2 linked regions of the Xenopus tropicalis genome follow. Each later gene encodes a partner of the first gene's protein in a complex. Links are inferred from orthologs where the notes say so. Each region holds a gene or a part of one and is shown on either strand. Other genes may lie near its edges. The genes, in order: sirt5 and prdx1.

The links.
Region 2: the proteins of sirt5 (region 1) and prdx1 are in contact, whole or in part, in a crystal structure (PDB 8Z54), measured with the Homo sapiens proteins. The link is inferred for Xenopus tropicalis from reciprocal best matches to the Homo sapiens genes SIRT5 and PRDX1. Residues at the interface, in NP_001363727.1 of Homo sapiens: Ala86, Tyr102, Arg105, Gln140, Ile142, His158, Val220, Val221, Trp222, Phe223, Gly224, Glu225, Asn226, Leu227, Leu232, Val253, Val254, Tyr255, Pro256; in NP_001189360.1 of Homo sapiens: Phe195, Ser196, Lys197, Gln198.

What each region holds. Positions count from the first base shown.
Region 1 is NC_030682.2:91,779,308-91,788,490, reverse strand, and holds the start of sirt5 (NAD-dependent protein deacylase sirtuin-5, mitochondrial precursor), read right to left. Parts: upstream 8,912-9,183; 5' UTR 8,856-8,911; exon of another isoform or gene 8,723-8,855; intron 2,780-8,722; 5' UTR 2,762-2,779; coding exon 2,650-2,761; intron 1,495-2,649; coding exon 1,361-1,494; intron 1-1,360. UniProt on the Homo sapiens protein: NAD-dependent lysine demalonylase, desuccinylase and deglutarylase that specifically removes malonyl, succinyl and glutaryl groups on target proteins.
Region 2 is NC_030680.2:90,367,438-90,377,100, forward strand, and holds the start of prdx1 (peroxiredoxin-1), read left to right. Parts: upstream 1-4,335; 5' UTR 4,336-4,358; exon of another isoform or gene 4,359-4,469; intron 4,470-9,663. UniProt on the Homo sapiens protein: Thiol-specific peroxidase that catalyzes the reduction of hydrogen peroxide and organic hydroperoxides to water and alcohols, respectively.

The sequences.
Region 1 (9,183 bases):
AAAGCCGACTTTCTTGTTAAAGCTCGGCTTCTCACTCTACTGCGCATGCGCGCGCACGCAAAACAGGAAGAGGGAAGCGCTCGCTGCTACCCCGTGCTGGTGCTGTTCTCTCCTAACTGGGGCACCAGCCCGGGGTAAAAGGTAAGCGATTTAAGTCACTTGGGGGTGCCTAACATTTTGGCACCCCCAAGTGACTTAGCCTTTCCTTCTCTTTTAAGTCATAGATGAAAAGTCTCAGACATGGGCAGTGAGCTTGATGTTGTGATGGAAGATTCCATTAATGCATATAAAGGACATGTCAACCCCCTAACGAAAAGTTTTAGCAGTGAAAAGCCTCACAGCATTCTTTAAATACCTGCCACTCCGGTCCCTCAAAAGCAAACAGCGAAGCTGCAGCGATCCCTTGGAGTTTCTCTCACTGCACAGCTCATTAACTCCCTCTCCCTCTCCCCCCTCCCTTTAGAATCTCCTTGTGTGCCTGGCGTGGTGCACATGCGCCGAAAAAGACTCGCGAGGCTTTTTCTGCGATTTGCGCGAAATCGCGCCGCCGCGTCTGCCATCCCGCCGGCGACTTACATGTTCGCCGGTGGGATGGCAGGGGTAGGCAACTCGGGGAGATTAGTCGCCCGCGAACAGGGAGTTAATCGCGGGCGACTAATCTCCCCCGTGTGCCAGAGCCCTAATGAGTGTGCATGTTCTGCCTTGCAACTGATATCCGTCAGTGGCGTTTTTTAATAAAGCTTATTAAAAAAAAAAAAAAAAAAAACAGGCAGGAGAGGCTATGCGCACATGCGCATTTGGTACATATACCGATCGCTTGATGACAAGCGAAACGGCGAAAAAACTAATGCAGCGGTGCAGGCTGTAGGAAGAGGTTGAGGGAGCGATAGTTATACGGTTGAGGTGGGGGTAAGGTGCCCTTGGCATTAGACCTGATATTAAAGTCAGCGTTGACATCTCCTTTAAAGGCAAAGAAAAAGTATCATCAGTGAGGGGAACAATTATTAGGCACCACCAAAACCCTGTGCACCTCGTTGCCATCTTTTTCCTCGTATGGCCCAGGCGTGGTGTGCATGTGCAGTGCAAAGGTCAGTCTTTTACTCTACTGCAAGCACACATTGGCACAGAGGGATCCTTGGGTGAGTGAGGAACGTGGTAAACGGTGAAGTTTTCCAAATCGGAGCACTAGCCCCAGGGCCTGGGAATTAACCAGATTCAGTTCGAAATTCAATTGAATCCCAGCCTTCTTTGCAGGATTCAGATTGTCTATGTATTTATACATAAGTTAAAAACCCACTTCTAAGTTATAAATTAAACATGGTTATGCAATTAATTTGATTATAATGTAATAACTTGAGACCTGTGCTTGCCATTTTCTCCAGTATCCTCCAGCTCCTCTGAATGTTGGCACTCCACTCTCTGCGCTGACTCCTGCGCCTGTAATAACTGCGATGTGCTTCGCTTTTGCAAAGGCTTCTCTGAAATCAGCCAGATCTTGAAAGGATATATAAAGTAAAATATATAATACTAAATTAGGAAGGGTATAACTGGTATGGGGAGATGGTGGGACACATTTACTAACATGACATTTTTGCTTCTTTTTTCGAACTGCCTGATTAAATGGAAAACTATACCCCCAAACAATGTAGGTTTCTATAAAATATACTGCATAAACATATGTAAAACCTGTTTCATCTAAATAAACCATTTTCATAAAAATATACTTTTTTAGTACTATTGAAAAAAAAAAATTGCCATTTTAAGAATTAAGGGCCTCTTCCTGGTATAGGATTCACAGTGCACACAAACAAGCCAAGGCACACATAAATGCTAGGCCACATCAGCCAATGAATGGACAGAGTTCTGTCTTTGCTTCCACAGTACTTCCTGTTACAGTTAGAGCTGCATTATTTCTGCTCATGTGATCTCTGAGGGACCACACAGCCCATCACTATGGTGGATCAAGGGAAAGGATGTAAAAGGGCAAAATCTACTGATATATATAATATTTAAGTTTGGCAAGATTCTTTCATAGGTCACTTAACATAATATAAACTATCTGTTGGTTAACATATAGTTTTAACACAGCAGTGATTCAGCTACTATTGCCTGGGCTATCACAGATTGGTTTAAAATCAGCTTCACTGAACTGTGTGTCATTAAACACAGTTTTATTATCTGAGCTGAGAGTGAAGGTGGCCATAAACGGTGAGATTTACTCGTTTGGCAACCATTTGGAGTCTTTCCCCCAATATGCCCACCTGAGGCCTGTTGGGCGGCTCTATACATGGATAGAAATGCTGCAGAGTCTGTCTGAAGGATCCGAATCATCAGCTTAAATCTGCCAGTGCATGACCTTTAGCCTCAGGATAGACTTTTATCGCTTATAAAAATTAGTAACCTAATCTCTAGGTAATACGCTTTCACCACTTATGTTCACACATCACCAATTATCTTTCTCACCAATTATATTTCTCAGTTGAGCACCAAGCAAGTTTATATACAGTAGGGTCTAAATGGCAGCATTCCAGTGCCACTAACAATCAGACCGTGCCTTTTTATTCTCTAATTTATAGTAGATCAACCAAAACAATAGAAAACTGCATAAATTACCCCCCAATCCCTTAAATTGTGTATCCCACCACTTACTAGAACTTGGGCGTGCCATTTCCAGGGCTATACCCTTTTTTTTGGAGGCTGGTTTCAGTCCACAGTAAACGTGGCTCACCAGTCTTCTGGTGTGGAACGGAAGAAGAATCATTAGGCCAAATTATTATAACTGAAACAAAAAATTGGAAAGATGACACCTTCTGTGGGAATTTGCAGCAAAAATGTACATTTTAAATAAAATACAATTATCTGCCAAATGAAACAGAAAATATACACAGAGTACAAAACACATTATTGTCTGCATATTAGCACACACTATTCCTTGTAGTGCAAAACTGGGTCTGTTGAGAATGGCAAGGGAAAGACATTTGGTTGCCAAATACAGCAAGTAGAGATGATATAAATGAAATAGGAATCAAATTCGTTATCAGAATTCAGAAACTAATTATTGCTTTTATCTGCCCCATTATGTTCCCTTATGCAATGTAAATGCATGGGGAATTGCCCATATTATGCTTTATAGAGATTTGCGAACATGTCTGCTGCATTGCCATTATCTATACTGTATATATTTTAGAAAAAGGTTTTTAAATTAATAACCCGATAAAGTATAAATTTCTTTCACAAAACTTAGTGAAGGTGGAGAAGCCTTTTTATAGCGTCTGTAAAACAGTCTGATACATATTATATATATAATGCTTGCTAAAAAGGCCTCCTTATTAAACAAAAGCTAAAAGCAAAATTTATACTTCAAAGACTCAGTCAGAGGATGGATGATGAGTTCTAGCATCTTACCAGAAGCAAATAGGAGAACGGTCAAAGCGCCAGTTAAGTCTATGTAAGACTGTGTGCACAGCAGAGTATGAATGCTTGCTGTGAGTCAGACCTGGTGTGCTCTAGTGACAGGGTGGGAGCTTGGAACACACTGCTACGTGAGCTGGGGACCGTAGGCATCTGAAAAGTGCTGACATCTGAACTCCCCTCTGGCTAACCTGACTGCCATAAAGCCATCTGGCACAAACATTAGGTATCTGGCTGAACTGCATCACAAGCTTATTATCCACCTTCATTCTGAGGAAGTTTCTTAATCAGTGATGAGGACAGGCTTCAACTAGTAGTCCTGCATATTACGAGTTCCATAGCTGGCTTGAGGATGGGAGCAATAAAACCAACAAGCTAAGCAATTCCTTGCAGAAATCATAAATTTATCACCAACATAAACAGGTTGGCCAATGTGCAGATTTTTACAACTTTCCAAAATCTTTACCTTTTTCCATAAATCCAAATTTTGCTTTTGCCTAAATTTAGATTCATGGTTTGCAACTTAGCAACCCTGGCAATAGTTTTATCAACATTCTGTTGTACACCAAGGTTTAAAAATGCTAGTAAATAAAAGAGGATATTCTAAGATTTTTAAAATGCATTTTTGTTACCTTAAATAAACAAAACAGAAAATTGCCCTTTTTTTAAAGAAGCTAATGAAATTTACTTTTGGCTACTAATCAGCCCCTAGATTCCTACTGCAAAGAAATTACTACCTGGGTGACGTTGCACAATGCCTCTCATCATTTGTGCAGGAAGGAGCAATTATAGGTGGATAAAGTGCAGAACACAGAAGACCCCCAGGAATATAACTACTAAATTAAATATGAGGGTCCACAAACTAGAATCCCCATTCAATAGCTACATATTTTACCCTATGAATCCAGTCTGTTTGGTTCACAATTACCTATGCCTATACTGGCAGCCTTCCCTAGCATATAATCCCAGTAGGAGCTTATATTATAACTTTATACTGTTCCCTACATAAGTATACCCCCCAAAAACTTGGAATTAAAAGACATATTTGCCTACAATGTATATCAGTTGGGCAGGTCTCCACCATCCAAATGGTGGCATAAAGTTCATCAAGGGTCAAGGCTCACACAGGCAAAACGGTCTTTGATAAAAGTTCTACTTTGTTTGAGCACTGTAATGGTTAAACTAAGCTCAGGAGAGGAGGTTAGGAGCTGAGTTTCCTAACATCAATGCCATGTCTTCATTGGCTGCTAGACAAGGGGGTGTGTTTAGTAATCTGAGCTGAGAAAAACTGAGCATGCCCAGGAGCCAACATCCAAAGGAAATTTCTGAGGGAGGGGGCCGAGTGGGTTACAGGAGGAGAAGGAAATCTAAGTGATTATGGAGATGCTGCAGCCTTATTATTGGACAGCCAGTGTGGCAGGAATTGAAAGATTTTAAAGAGGCTGTTCAATAATTAAATTTTTGTCTATGGGGTTTACATGTGCTTTAAAGAACAGATATGATATGTAACCATCCTTACAACTGCCTTAAATATAGTCAGTACCTTTTTAGCTGCATTTTTATCTCCAAGACTCCACCAGAAGATGGAGGAAATCACTTCTGCCTTTCAAAAATTAGCTGTATTGGGCTTTGTGCTTGTATTCACGGGCAAATATGGTCAGATGGCGGAACGAGATGCGCAGAGGGCGCAAAGCTGGAACAGTTACGTAGCTAGATCTAACATGCCGTCTACATCCCAGGCAGCAAACTCAAACTCTGAATGGAAAGTTCAAAACAGATTTTGGGGCAGTAAAAGTAAAACGTTCTACAAGGGGGATTTAATAATTCTTCTATGGTAAAATATGGGTTGGGGTTCTTTCCTTGTCTCTTAAGAATTCTCATCAAACACTTTGAAGGTGCAAAATATATAGACCATTCTGATAAAGCTTACTTAGTTTTTACCTTTTTCTTCTCCTTTAAAATTAAATTCTCTCTCCCCCCACTTCCCTATTAGATAAGCTTAGTGTTACAGATATTAATACCTCACTCACCACTTTATTAAGTTGGTCTTGGTGCCTTGCCCTGGACCCCTCGCTTTGGGGGGGGGGGGGGGGGCAGTGATATTTATCAATACAAAAATTAATTAAAACAGGTGCTCTCATGGCAACTCACCAGGCTAATCCAGTGGTGTGGGTGCAGTGCCCCAGACCCGTAGCTAGGGGGGCACTCAACAGTCGCAGACAAACTTTCTTGTATGGGCGCGCACACTAAACACCAATGGCCATGGTTAAAAAAGTTTTATTTCACAATTCTGACGTGTTTCCATTTGAAGCTTTATTTCACAATCCTGATGCGTTTTGCTTTTTTTTTTAAACCATGCCCATAGGTTTTTGGTGTGCACCCTAACTAAGAAAGTTTACAAAATATTTATTAACAAAAAAGATGACATTTTGTTGGTTGCTTAATTATTCCCTCTGCATATATAGTGGCTAGCCTTCTGGGGTATGCCTACATTAGTTTTGCGGACTTAAAGGACATGTAAAGCCTACATTTGCCTACAATGTATATCAGTTGGGCACGTCTCCCCCATCCAAATGGCATTATTTGTACTGCATATATTCCCCTCCATTTGCCAGCACCATCACATTTTCTTAAAGCAAATAGTAACTTTCACCCGGTGGCCATTTTTCCTCTGATACATTATCAGTTACATTTAAATCTGCAAACAGCATACACACACGCAGACCCTTATTCAGAATACATTTCATCAAGAATACAGGCTCACACAGGCACAACTGTCTCTAATAAAAGTTCTGCTTTGAGCACTGTAATGGTAAAGCTGATCTCAGGAGAAAAAAATTAAGTCAAAAGGGATTCTGGGAACAAATTCCTTAAGGCTCTTAGAAAAATCCCATTTACATGAGAAAAAAATTGAAGCAGACACCTAGAGCTGAGTTTCTATGGGAACCAGCAATGCCATCTCTTCACTGGCTGCTAGACTGGGGGGCGTGTTTAGTAATCTGAGCTTAGAACAACTGAGCATGCCCACAAGCCAACAGCCAAAGCAAATTCCTGAGGGAGGGGGCCGAGTGGGTTACAGGAGGAGAAAGAAATCTAAGTGATTAAAGGAGAAAGAAAGGCAAAGTCACTTGGGGGTGCCAAAATGTTAAAAAATGGGAAGAGGCATTTGATCAACCCATAGAACAACATGGTACAATATTTACTGATACTGATACAGGGGTTAAAGCCACAGCCATCAATCTATGAGACTTGTTCTTCATAGAAACCTAATATAATTGACTATATATTATTGTTCATGCCAAATTTAGTATGTCAATAGATAAGGATCCTCAGGAAGCAAATGCCCAAACGTTAATATCTTTATAGAAATAAACTACTTGTTCCCAACGTGCCTTATTTATGTTGTATTTTACATCGTCCTCCTCCTATTGCCCTATCACACCTGTTAAGCTGGCCATACACGCACCGATGATACCGTACGAAACTTTACTGAAGGCGCCCGAGCAAAATCTATGTTCAGGGCTGAATTGGCAGAAGGAGGTAGAAATCCTATTGTTTCTACCTCCATATCTAACAATTCAGCCCTGAGTGAGGGGTTGGAACGATCTTTCGTGAGACCGATGGTTTCTTTCCCCTTTCTTCCCTATGGGTACACAGTATAAACTCCCTCCCGACTTGGGTGGAGTATAGTTTATAACCTAGTATCACCATTTTCTACTGCTGATTAGGTGTAACTCCTGGTTATCTGTTAATTTCTATGTATAAAAATTCCAAATTACAATAAAAGGAAAAATATATATGTAAAAAAAAAAAAAAAATTTTAGGTGGTTATGAAGCTGCATAATGATTGTATGTGAATGTGTAACCAAATGTAAAACTGTGGCATAATATTATGCATTAAACAAATAAATAAAAATCCTTTTAGTTCACCTTTAGTTTAACTTTTAGTATGATATAGAGATTGATATTCTGAGACAATTTTTATTTTTTAAGGTTTTTCAGTTATTTCACTTTTTGTTCAGCAGGTCTCAAGTTTGGAATTTCAGCAGCTAGGCTCTTATTTACTCTAACCAACTAGGCTGTGGTTTGAATGAGAGACTGGAATATGAATAAGCAAAAAACGGAATAGAATGAAATGAAAAGTAACAATAAAATTGTAGCATCACAGAGCAAAAGTTTGTCTGCCGGGTCAGTGACCCCCATCTGAAAGCAAAAAGGAGAAAAGGAATAACTACAAACACAGAAATAATGAAGACCAATGGCAAAGTTGCTAGGAATAGGACATTCCTTAACATACTAAAAGTTCACTTAAAGGTGAACCAGCCCCTTAATCAGCCCAGAAAGATGCCAGACAGTGACTATTTATTGGACTGGTGGTGGGCTGTTTGGGCCTCTGTGTAGTAGAAATACCAGGGCATTTAATTAATCCCAGTCCAGACCTGCTGCGGCCTAAATTTATCCTAATTTCAATGGGTTTTGCTAGGTCAGGGAGGGTGTAATTAATGGAGAACAAGAGCCTAATTCGAAGGGCTACCTTTATACCCAGGGGGTGCACACCTCTTCTTTAAAAAAAAACAAATCGTCTATGCCTGGGCACTTTCATTCAGAGCGCTATGCCGCCGCATCTAAAGCAACTTAGGGATATATTTATCATTCTTTGTAAAAAGTGGAGTAAAGCATTACCAGTGATGTTGCCCAGGGCAACCAATCAGCAATTAGATTTCAACAGTTAGAAAACCAAAGCAAAGCATCTGATTGGCTGCTATGAGCAACATCACCGGTGATGTTTTACTCTATTTTTTACACAGCATGATAATTATACTTCTATAATGTAATGTGCAGGCACCCCTCCATATAGAAATGCTTTAGCTAGTTTTTACAGCAGTTTTTTTTTACCGTTTATTAGGCACAATATATTTTAGCAGATTCTAAATTCAGCCTTAAGCACTAAACTCTCAGTGTGGAAGCTTAAGGTTCCCCGACATAACCGCATCTCAAAGCAATGAAAAGTAAAACCATCAGGCAAAAAGGAAACTAAGGAGGAAACAGCGCTCCCCGAAAAGCCCCAGGAAGCACGTGTTTGCGCAACACATGTATTTATCTAGCGCCCCAGCTGCACACCGAGCGCACTTGCCATCACTTCCCTTAGGAACACACTGCGCAGCACACACTGCTCGGTGCCATCAACGCATTTTTAACTCTTTGCAAAGCGCTTCCCGTACATTAAAACACCCCCTCACATACAGACTTAACAGCAAACACAATCACAAGCTACACTGTACACATGGGAAGATACCATGGGCAAACCTACTGCAAGGAAAGGGCGGAGTTTAACTGCAGTTCCGATTTTCCAGGAAGTGTCTGGTTGAAGCCCCTCTTGTCTGTCTCCAGACCCCTGTGTCAGCCGTGTAATAGTAGAAAATCCTACTGAACAAATTCTTTACCTGCTGTCCAGCCAGAGCCAGGCCTTCAGCTCTCGGCTTAACACCAAACAGCGAACGCAGCTCACAGAGCCCACAGCGCCACCTGCTGCCCGGACGCTCCAAACACGCCAAGGTCAAACACAAAGCCCAATGTGCGCCGGTGCGCGGTTTGTCACCGCTGGGTGGGTTTCTTTTCGCCGTGTTATGTCAGTAACACAGGGTAGGGTATAGGGTGCTCAGTTTTCGAAAGCCAAAATATATATCAGCGCTTTACTGATAAACATTGTTCGCAATGTTTCCTACCTGACTGATTAGGACAGTGGTTTACAAGTTATGAGTTCCTCTGTTT
Region 2 (9,663 bases), on another chromosome or scaffold:
CCTCCCATAAGAATTCATAAAGCTCACTCCCCCCTTAGGAATGTGTAATCTGAGCTATAACGCTAGACTGCAAGCAGGAATCTATGATGACCCAGCTAAAATGGCAACTGCAAACAGAGAAATCTTCTAGGCCTCCTTACTCAAAAAAAAGCTTTCTGCAGAATAAATATAGTGTTCTAGGTGGCACAAATGTGGCAAATCTATTGGCAGTAAAATGCCAAAATGACTTTCCTTCTCCTTTAAATACTTAAAATTAGAATTTGGTGCACCAGATCAGATGCAAATGATTAAAACGTGCTCTTGCTCTTTGTTATTGAAGTGTGTGGTATTGTAATGCCTAAATTTCAAGAATTCTCTTTTAGAAAGGAGATAGATGCCAATGAGTCTGGGAAAGGAGTTGAAGAGATTGTACAATATTGTACATCAATCATTCTACTTGCCAGATGTTTATCAGACTGCAAACTTACCTGTGCCAGGCCTCCCCAGCAGGTTCAGGCCAATAGCAGAACACGTGAAACTAGAGTCCTGCAAGTCCTCTAGTTGGGCAGACCTGTGCCCAACCTGGACCTGCTAACTCACAACCCAACCTGGACTCGCCAACCCTCTATTACGCACCCCTGTTCACGCCATCTCACCCTACCCGCACTACTCAAACCTTCCACCTGACCCATGCTAACCGGAAGTGACACAATTGGTGGGCAGAAGTGAAGTCACGCTGGAGGCACATTAACCAGGTCAGGGAAAAAAAATGTTAACTTTGGGAGGTGGGAGAATGCGAAATTGCACCCTTTCCTTGTTGGGGATGCTGGACAAAAAATAGGCTTGTGCCACATAGTTTTACATTTCAGAACAAAAAGCAACAAACTTACTGTATATTTTCCTGTTGTTTTCTCCTCACATGACTTTGGACTTTCTATTACTTGATCCAACCTTGGTATGACCTTCTGTGGTGTAACCTGTTCTGCCTACCTTACACCCTACAAGTTTCTGACTAGTTTTTGCTAGTTTGGTTTCCTTTTTGTTGCCTAGATCCCAAGAGTTCTCTATGAACTTTAGAAAGATGCCTGTGAGTCGTGAAAGGGACTTAAAAAGAGCGCCAATCGTGTGGACATCAATTAATATAGAATATACAGTGGAGGAAATAATTATTTGACCCCTCACTGATTTTGTAAGTTTGTCCAATGACAAAGAAATGAAAAGTCTCAGAACAGTATAATTTCAATGGTAGGTTTATTTTAACAGTGGCAGATAGCACATCAAAAGGAAAATCGAAAAAATAACTTTAAATAAAAGATAGCAACTGATTTGCATTTCATTGAGTGAAATAAGTTTTTGAACCCCTACCAACAATTAAGAGTTCTGGCTCCCACAGAGTGGTTAGACACTTCTACTCAATTAGTCAACCTCATTAAGGACACCTGTCTTAACTAGTCACCTGTATAAAAGACACCTGTCCACAGAATCAATCAATCAAGCAGACTCCAAACTCTCCAACATGGGAAAGACCAAAGAGCTGTCCAAGGATGTCAGAGACAAAATTGTAGACCTGCACAAGGCTGGAATGGGCTACAAAACCATTAGCAAGAAGCTGGGAGAGAAGGTGACAACTGTTGGTGCGATTGTTCGAAAATGGAAGGAGCACAAAATGACCATCAATCGACCTCGCTCTGGGGCTCCACGCAAGATCTCACCTCGTGGGGTGTCAATGATTCTGAGAAAGGTGAAAAAGCATCCTAGAACTACACGGGAGGAGTTAGTTAATGACCTCAAATTAGCAGGAACCACAGTCACCAAGAAAACCATTGGAAACACATTACACCGCAATGGATTAAAATCCTGCAGGGCTCGCAAGGTCCCCCTGCTCAAGAAGGCACATGTGCAGGCCCGTCTGAAGTTTGCCAATGAACACCTGAATGATTCTGTGAGTGACTGGGAGAAGGTGCTGTGGTCTGATGAGACCAAAATAGAGCTCTTTGGCATTAACTCAACTCGCTGTGTTTGGAGGAAGAAAAATTCTGCCTATGACCCCCAAAACACCGTCCCCACCGTCAAGCATGGGGGTGGAAACATTTTGCTTTGGGGGTGTTTTTCTGCTAAGGGCACAGGACAACTTATTCGCATTAACGGGAAAATGGACGGAGCCATGTATCGTGAAATCCTGAACGACAACCTCCTTCCCTCTGCCAGGAAACTGAAAATGGGTCGTGGATGGGTGTTCCAGCACGACAATGACCCAAAACATACAACAAAGGAGTGGCTCAAGAAGAAGCACATTAAGGTCATGGAGTGGCCTAGTCAGTCTCCGGACCTTAATCCAATAGAAAACCTATGGAGGGAGCTCACGCTCAGAGTTGCACAGAGACAGCCTCGAAACCTTAGGGATTTAGAGATGATCTGCAAAGAGGAGTGGACCAACATTCCTCCTAAAATGTGCGCAAACTTGGTCATCAATTACAAGAAACGTTTGACCTCTGTGCTTGCAAACAAGGGTTTTTCCACTAAGTATTAAGTCTTTTTTTGTTAGAGGGTTCAAAAACTTATTTCACTCAATGAAATGCAAATCAGTTGCTATCTTTTATTTAAAGTTATTTTTTCGATTTTCCTTTTGATGTGCTATCTGCCACTGTTAAAATAAACCTACCATTGAAATTATACTGTTCTGAGACTTTTCATTTCTTTGTCATTGGACAAACTTACAAAATCAGTGAGGGGTCAAATAATTATTTCCTCCACTGTATTATCTGGAAGATAACCTACTAGTGTACAAAAACCTGCCAACTTGCCCAGGCAAGGCTGTCCTAGCAAGTTCAGTCCAAGAGCAAAACACAAGATGCAAAAAGACTTCTTTAAGAACCCCAGCATTTTATAACAAGACCTACAGATACCTCTCACCGTTACTGATGTCAAAGTGCACAAGTCTAACATTACAAATTAGATCCCAAATTTGATCTACAAGGGGGGGGGGGGGGGGTGTTAAGTGGAAAACTTTGCTGTCAAGAAAAAACATCTTTCCAAGACTAAAGGTTGCTCATGAAACACCTAGGCAAAAACCAGGATGTGTTTTGTACAGTCCAAGCAAAGTTATTTCACAACAGTACCAAAAGACTGCATTTTACTGCATTGACTGCATTTAATATCCCTGTTTATATTAATGTATTCTACTGTACAGCGCTGCGTACATAAGTAGCGCTTTATAAATAAAGTTATACATACATACATACTAGAACCAGATACGAACTGTGAAGTATTGTGGTGGGTACGGCCAGAACTAGAGGTAAGCAGAAGAGGCACATGCGTAGGGAGCAATGGTGGGGGGCGCTAGATACATGCGTAGGGAGCAATGGCGGGGGGCGCTAGATACATACAAATATTAGGCTGATGCCCTACAAAAGATCTCTGCTATCGTGGGTGACGAACTGCTCCAAAATGCCTTTCCACCAGCAACAATAGGTTGGCGGTAGAAAGCCCTTCACATTGCTTTGATTTTCTGAAGGTTTTCTTGCAGGTGGAAAGCCATTTTGGAGCGGTTAGTTGGCCGTGAAAGCAGAGATCTATTGTGGGCAACTGAATCGCTCCATGAGTCCTTAGCCTAAAGCAGTGGGTTCCAGTTCTGCTTCCTTTATAGTTACGCAACTGGTGCCAGGCGAGCTTGGCCCAGCTCTGGTGGTTTAAAGTTGTAGTTTGGTGCTGCTTTTCTGCATAATGGCCTGGGCTGATCTCCCAGGGTAGAAAATTGCACCCCTTCCCTGTTGGGGATGCTGGACAAAAACACTTTTTTACTTTGAGACTTAGCAGCTGCACCACTTCCCCCGCCATTCCTGGGCAGGCAGTGCACCACTGGAACCCCTGCTGTGCTTGGGCCCACTGTACCTGGCACAGCCTGCACAATTATTGGTATGATGCTTCCGTGTTTCTGATGGTGGCCCTAGAAGTAGCTAACAAGAAAGAGGCTTGAGGCATGTAGTGTTACATTTCAGCACAGAAAACAAGGAAACTTACTTTCAGACAGAAGCAACTGCAACTATTCTTCTTCACAAAAACACCAAAGTCTGCCCCAACCCGTTATACCTTTTTTTATTCACACCCTTTATATAGTTGCCTAAAGGTTCATTTGCTTCTAATTAGTGCGACGAGTAAAATAGACATGAGAATCTCCCCGGAGAAGGTGTGAAAGCCGCAAGTAACGAGGGGAGGGGATGAGGGGAAGGCAGAAGATGACAGGAGATGCTTCAGTAAGGAGAGGGGAGGGGAGGAGTGGAGCGGGCGGTGCTCGCCATATTTGCTGAATATAAAGCACTTACAAGGCTGTGCCGGTCTCCTCCTGCATTGCCTGATCTGCTTGGAACAGCCACAGCCATGTAAGTTACACATTCTGCCCGCGACATCTCCCTCCTAATCTTTAGCAGGGCCTCTCCATCGCTTCCGGCTGCTATTATTGTTGTGATGGGGGTGACGGGAGTTAAAGTTCTGTAAGTTGAAATCTGAAATATCAGCGCCTATCTGCTTCCTATTGTTCTCCCTATTGTGTTCCTACATTATCTTCTGCCATACTATAAAGCTCACAATGTAGCCCTGGAAACCCTGGTCACTAGTAGTAATGGGAGCACGACTCCTAGCATTGCGCATGCTGTAGTGAGTTGTAGTTCAGTAACAGATGGGGCATTCTTGCGTAATAACCCGGTGGGGGCTTTTGGTGGGATTATACTGAAAAGCCTTGAACTTGGGTTGAGCGCGGTTTGGGGCCCGGTTTAGAATGAATGACACCATCACTAGTTCTTCTGCACCTGCATCATTCTTGTGATTTCTTCTTGGGGGTTATATCCCATAGTTCCGTGCCGCCTCTGACAGAGCTCCCATTGTTACACAGAGCACTCCCTGCCGCCAGCTTCCTCTGCGTATGCGTGACAACTTCTAACCTCTGCAATGTCTGGCTTCCCTAGCTTTCTCTCTGTCCGGGCTTCCCTGCAGCCTAGTGATTTGCTTCTTTCTAAAAGGAAAAGTGACGAGTGCTGCAGAACATGTGAGGCTGGAGGGTGTGGGATATCCCTGCCTCAGCGGGATGACTAGTTATTCAGGGTTCTGCCCGACGTGAAACCTTTCCACCACCCATAACAGCTCAGGAACACTAGTAGAGGCACGTACTGTATGAGGGTTCCCGCCTAGCTACTTTTTTTTTTACCAGGCCAACAAAAATGATGCTTTGTCAGTGCTTTCAATAGTAGCTAGGGTGGCAGTGGTAGGAAGGTTAGTGTTCTTTAGCAGAAAAAGGGGTTAAAGGAACAGTAACACCAAAAAATGAAAGTGTTTTAAAGTAGTTGAAATATAACATACTGTTGCCCTGCACTGGTAAAACTGGGGTGTTTGCTTCAGGAACACTACTATAGTTTATATAAATAAGCTGCTGTGTAGCCATGGGGGCAGCCATTCAAGCTGGAAAAAAGGAGAAAAGGCACAGGTTACATAGCAAATAACAGATAAGACACCATTGTATTCTACTGGGTTTATCTATTATCTGCTATATAACATGTGCCTTTTCTTCTTTTGAATGGCTGCCCCCATGGCTACACACCAGGGTTTATATAAACTATAGTAATGTTTCTGAAGCAAACATACAATTTTTACCAGTGCAGGGCAGCAATACATTATAGTTTAATTTCTTTAAAATATATACATTTTTTACTGTTCCTTTTAAGATCTGCTTTTAACATTTCCATGCGTTGTTCTATGGCTGAAAGTGGAAGATGGTGGCCTGTATCTACAATGGTTTAAAAGGATTTGTCAAACTCACCACGTGTAAACAGGTATCCAGGCTTGGTTGTGCATACCCTTTAAGAGTGAGTTTAATATAGCATCTCTGGGTGGGGTGGGGGTATAATTTTCCTGGCGTGAGTAAAAAGAAATGATTTTTGGTTATGTTTCGCTGACTTGTCACTTCCCCTTTCCATATGAGTCTGGGGATGTTGAGGAAGAAATCTTGCGAAATGAATAAGAGCCATTGGCAATGTAGACTTCAGATTTGAAAAGAGAGAATTTCTTTTTAGGAATACATAGGATATAGAGCTATTTTGATACCTGCACTAGTCACTACGTTTGTGCATGTGGCACAGCCAACATGTTTGTCACACAGCAGCCACAATTCATAGCAGATATAATTGCCTTATTGCCCATAACATGAAATGCTGCACAGGACAGTGAAAAAAAGAAACATGCAGAATGTTCCTCTGAATGAACTGCCAAAATGCTTTATTTACTCCTCTAGAGCCTCGGGCATATCATACAATCAAGTGTATTTAAAATGCCACTTGTAAGGTCAATATGTGTGCCAGGTATCGAGACAGGTGATCTGGTAGAAGCTTCTCAAGGAACTGACACAACAGGTCATTTGCAAGCAGGTTTAACCCTGCGTGTTTATTAGCCCCTTCATCAGACATGATCTGATCATGATCAGACATTTTACAGGTTGTGTGTAATCAGAAACGGTGCTGTAGTTAACCATCAGCCCATATTCACCATCCAATGAACTTGAACCTGAACGTCGGCGGCTTTAGTTAGCTGCAGCACATTACTTTCTTGGCACTTTCTTTGTACAATTTCTTTCTACATTTCCCTGGTAAGTTAAAAAGGCAGGTTCTTAATCACGTACTGTATATGTTTTCTGTGCAAGACAGCTGGAGCAGCTGCTGATTCTGGCATCCTCACAAGTGTACCTTGAAATCAAACCATGGACTTCTGAATATGAATACATGTGTTCCATCTCTTGCTGTCAGACCCATGCTGCAGCCAACCCTCATATTGGGCTGATGCGGTGTGCTGAATTGCTCAGACCAAAAGCTTGATTCAGGTTATATGTACAAGTTGTTCTAACTGCACTTGCACAAAAAGTGATGCCTTATTTTTGTAAACTACACACACTCTTACATAAAATAGCTGGTGCTTTACAGATAAGTCCTTTTCCTGAGAATAATGTGACCAATTTCTTCCTGTTATTAAAAAAACCTTCCATGCTCTATGACATGTTTGTAAATGTTTGTTCATGGTATCTATGAAACAGAATATGAATCACAAGAGATCAACTGCAAGATATTGACCCTCAGTCAGGAAAAGGCCGAGATGCTGTGTAGAATTCTGTTGAATCTACAGATTTTCAGCAGAGCATACCTTTATGTGATAATATAAAAAGCTGCCCAGGGCTGCACAAGGCGGTGTAATAATGGTACCCAAAGTAAGCAATGTTGGAGATTGCATTGATGGCACTCATTTGGCTAAAATCAGCTGATGGGGTTTGATCTGCCTGTCTGCTGTGTGTGGGTAACTATTGGCCTCTGCTGTTACCTGTATACATTTAAATGAGACATATCATATAAAAATTATGAATGTACCAGTGAATTATACTCCTCTAGCTATAGAAGGATTGTGCTTAAAAAAGTTGTGTTTCAGACTGATTGTCTGACTGATTGACTGTAGTTCTATTATGGTTCTAGTCTTTATATTTCATTAGTAAAGCTTTCATTTTATTACTGTTACACAGTGCTCCAGAAGATTTATAGTGTGCAAAAGTGAAATGATTAGTAGTGCCACATTGGAATCTGCATTAAGTAATTGCCTGTCCAAGGACCCCCACAACCTTAATAGCCCCTTTGAAACAGAGCACAATAAGATTTCAGCTGGGGCACTAGTTTCTAAAGTAAAGGTGCTCTAATATCCTGTGTTCTATGCATAGCATTGTATTCTGTTTATACTGGCTTTGTTTCTTGAGTAGAGTGTTTATTTCTGACGAGTACCAAGGTGATTTAAACTACTCAGGGAGGAGTGGTTGTTATTCTATCTAGAATGTACCTGAACAGCAGGAGATACATCCTTAGTACTACTCTGTGGGGATGCTCCACTTTCGCCACCTTGTAACACAAAGGGGGAGTAACCGCTATCATAAAGATCCTCTAAACCAGGGCTGTCCAACTGGCAGCACGCGGGCCTGTATTGTTTTTACATGTAATCCCCTGTACTGTTCACATTTTTTAGTGCCTGTTTTGTTCACACCTCAGGCTCAGATGGCACACACAGGCAGGGTAGGGCAGGCAGAGTATGGCACACACAGGTAGCATTGGGCAGGCGTACCATACTCTGCCTGCCCTACCCTGTCTATGTGCGCCGTACCCTGCCTGTGTAAGCCATACTCTGCCTGCCCTATACTGTCTGTGTGTGCCAAACTGCTTGCTCTATACTGCCTGTGTGTGCCTTACTCTGCCTGCCCTATACTGCCTGTGTGTGCCTTACTCTGCCTGCCCTATACTGCCTGTGTGTGCCAAACTCTACCTGCCCTATACTGCCTGTGTGTGCTATACTTTGCCTGCCTAATGCTGCCTGTGGGAGATGAACCTGGCAGGGGTTTGTTCTGGGAGTTTGTTAGCAGTTGGAAATAGTCCTTGTATGGTCCTTAAGGTGTGTAATTATGTGCTGTGGGTTGCTGTGCTATCCACAGGGGAGGAGGCATATGGAATTAAGCATATGTCTTAATGACATAATATAATTCTTTCACATAAGAATGAAGGGTGAAATCCCTACAGTGAGCACCAATCATTTGGGTTTTTGCTGCACTACCACCATTAATGTGTAATGGGTATTGTCTTAAATGCTCTTGTGATAACATGGGTGTGGTTTGAAGTGGGTGCATTTTAAAAAAGGGGAGTGGTCAAAACTGGGTTCCATTATCAGCCCTCCACCATGTAGGCCAGAAAAATTCCGTCCCTTGGTACTACAGAAGTTGGACAGCACTGCTCTAATCTAATGCACACTTGTATCTGTTTCACAAATAGTGTATAATTTTTGTTTTAGTCCCATGGACAGATTTAGTCACCTGTGACAGGCGACTAATCATTTGATTATGCATCGGTTCGGTTGCACAAAGTTGATGGTGGAAAGGCATTTTGGAGAGATTAGTTGCCTGCGTAGCAGAAATCTCTGCATGGGACATAAGCCTAAAACATTGATGATACAATTTTTTTTCTATTGCAGGTGACTAAATCTCTCCAGAGTACATCAGCCTTACACTTGTAACGTTAGGTGAATAGGCAAATTTCTCAACCCAAAACTTTTCAGCTGCAGCTATCTCAGTTACTGACAGATTCTACCTTGCAGTCTACTGATAAACGGCATGGTTGGGTTGTTTTCAATAGGAAAAAAAATGGACTGAGAGAGATATTTATATTGTAATTCATAAGGCTGATGGCACACTATTGGTTTCTCCGCCAGACAGAGGATAGCTATGAAGGAAATAAATTTATAATTGACTGCATTGTGAAATAGCATTGTGGGAGAGGCAGGCGCCTCAGGAATTACAACCTAGAAATTCCTCCACAATCTCTTTTGCAGTTGCACAAAGTACAGGTTTTATTAGCCTAATAACACACCTAAGTAATAAGTTAGCAATCAGTAAAGTAAAAATTGCAGTGTTCTTTTAATTCTGGTCTATTTTGACCTGCTTTGTACATCCTTTGTTGTTTGAACTTAAGTAATGACACTTTGCAAAGATGAAAGGCCATTTTAGTGCAAAATGTACACTAAATAAATAAAGGAAATAATTATCTGAGGCTTTTAAAAGCTTGCTTAAATCTGCATAGGAACAATTAAAAAAAAAAAAAAAAAAAGCCTGCTTGTAAAGAGCCC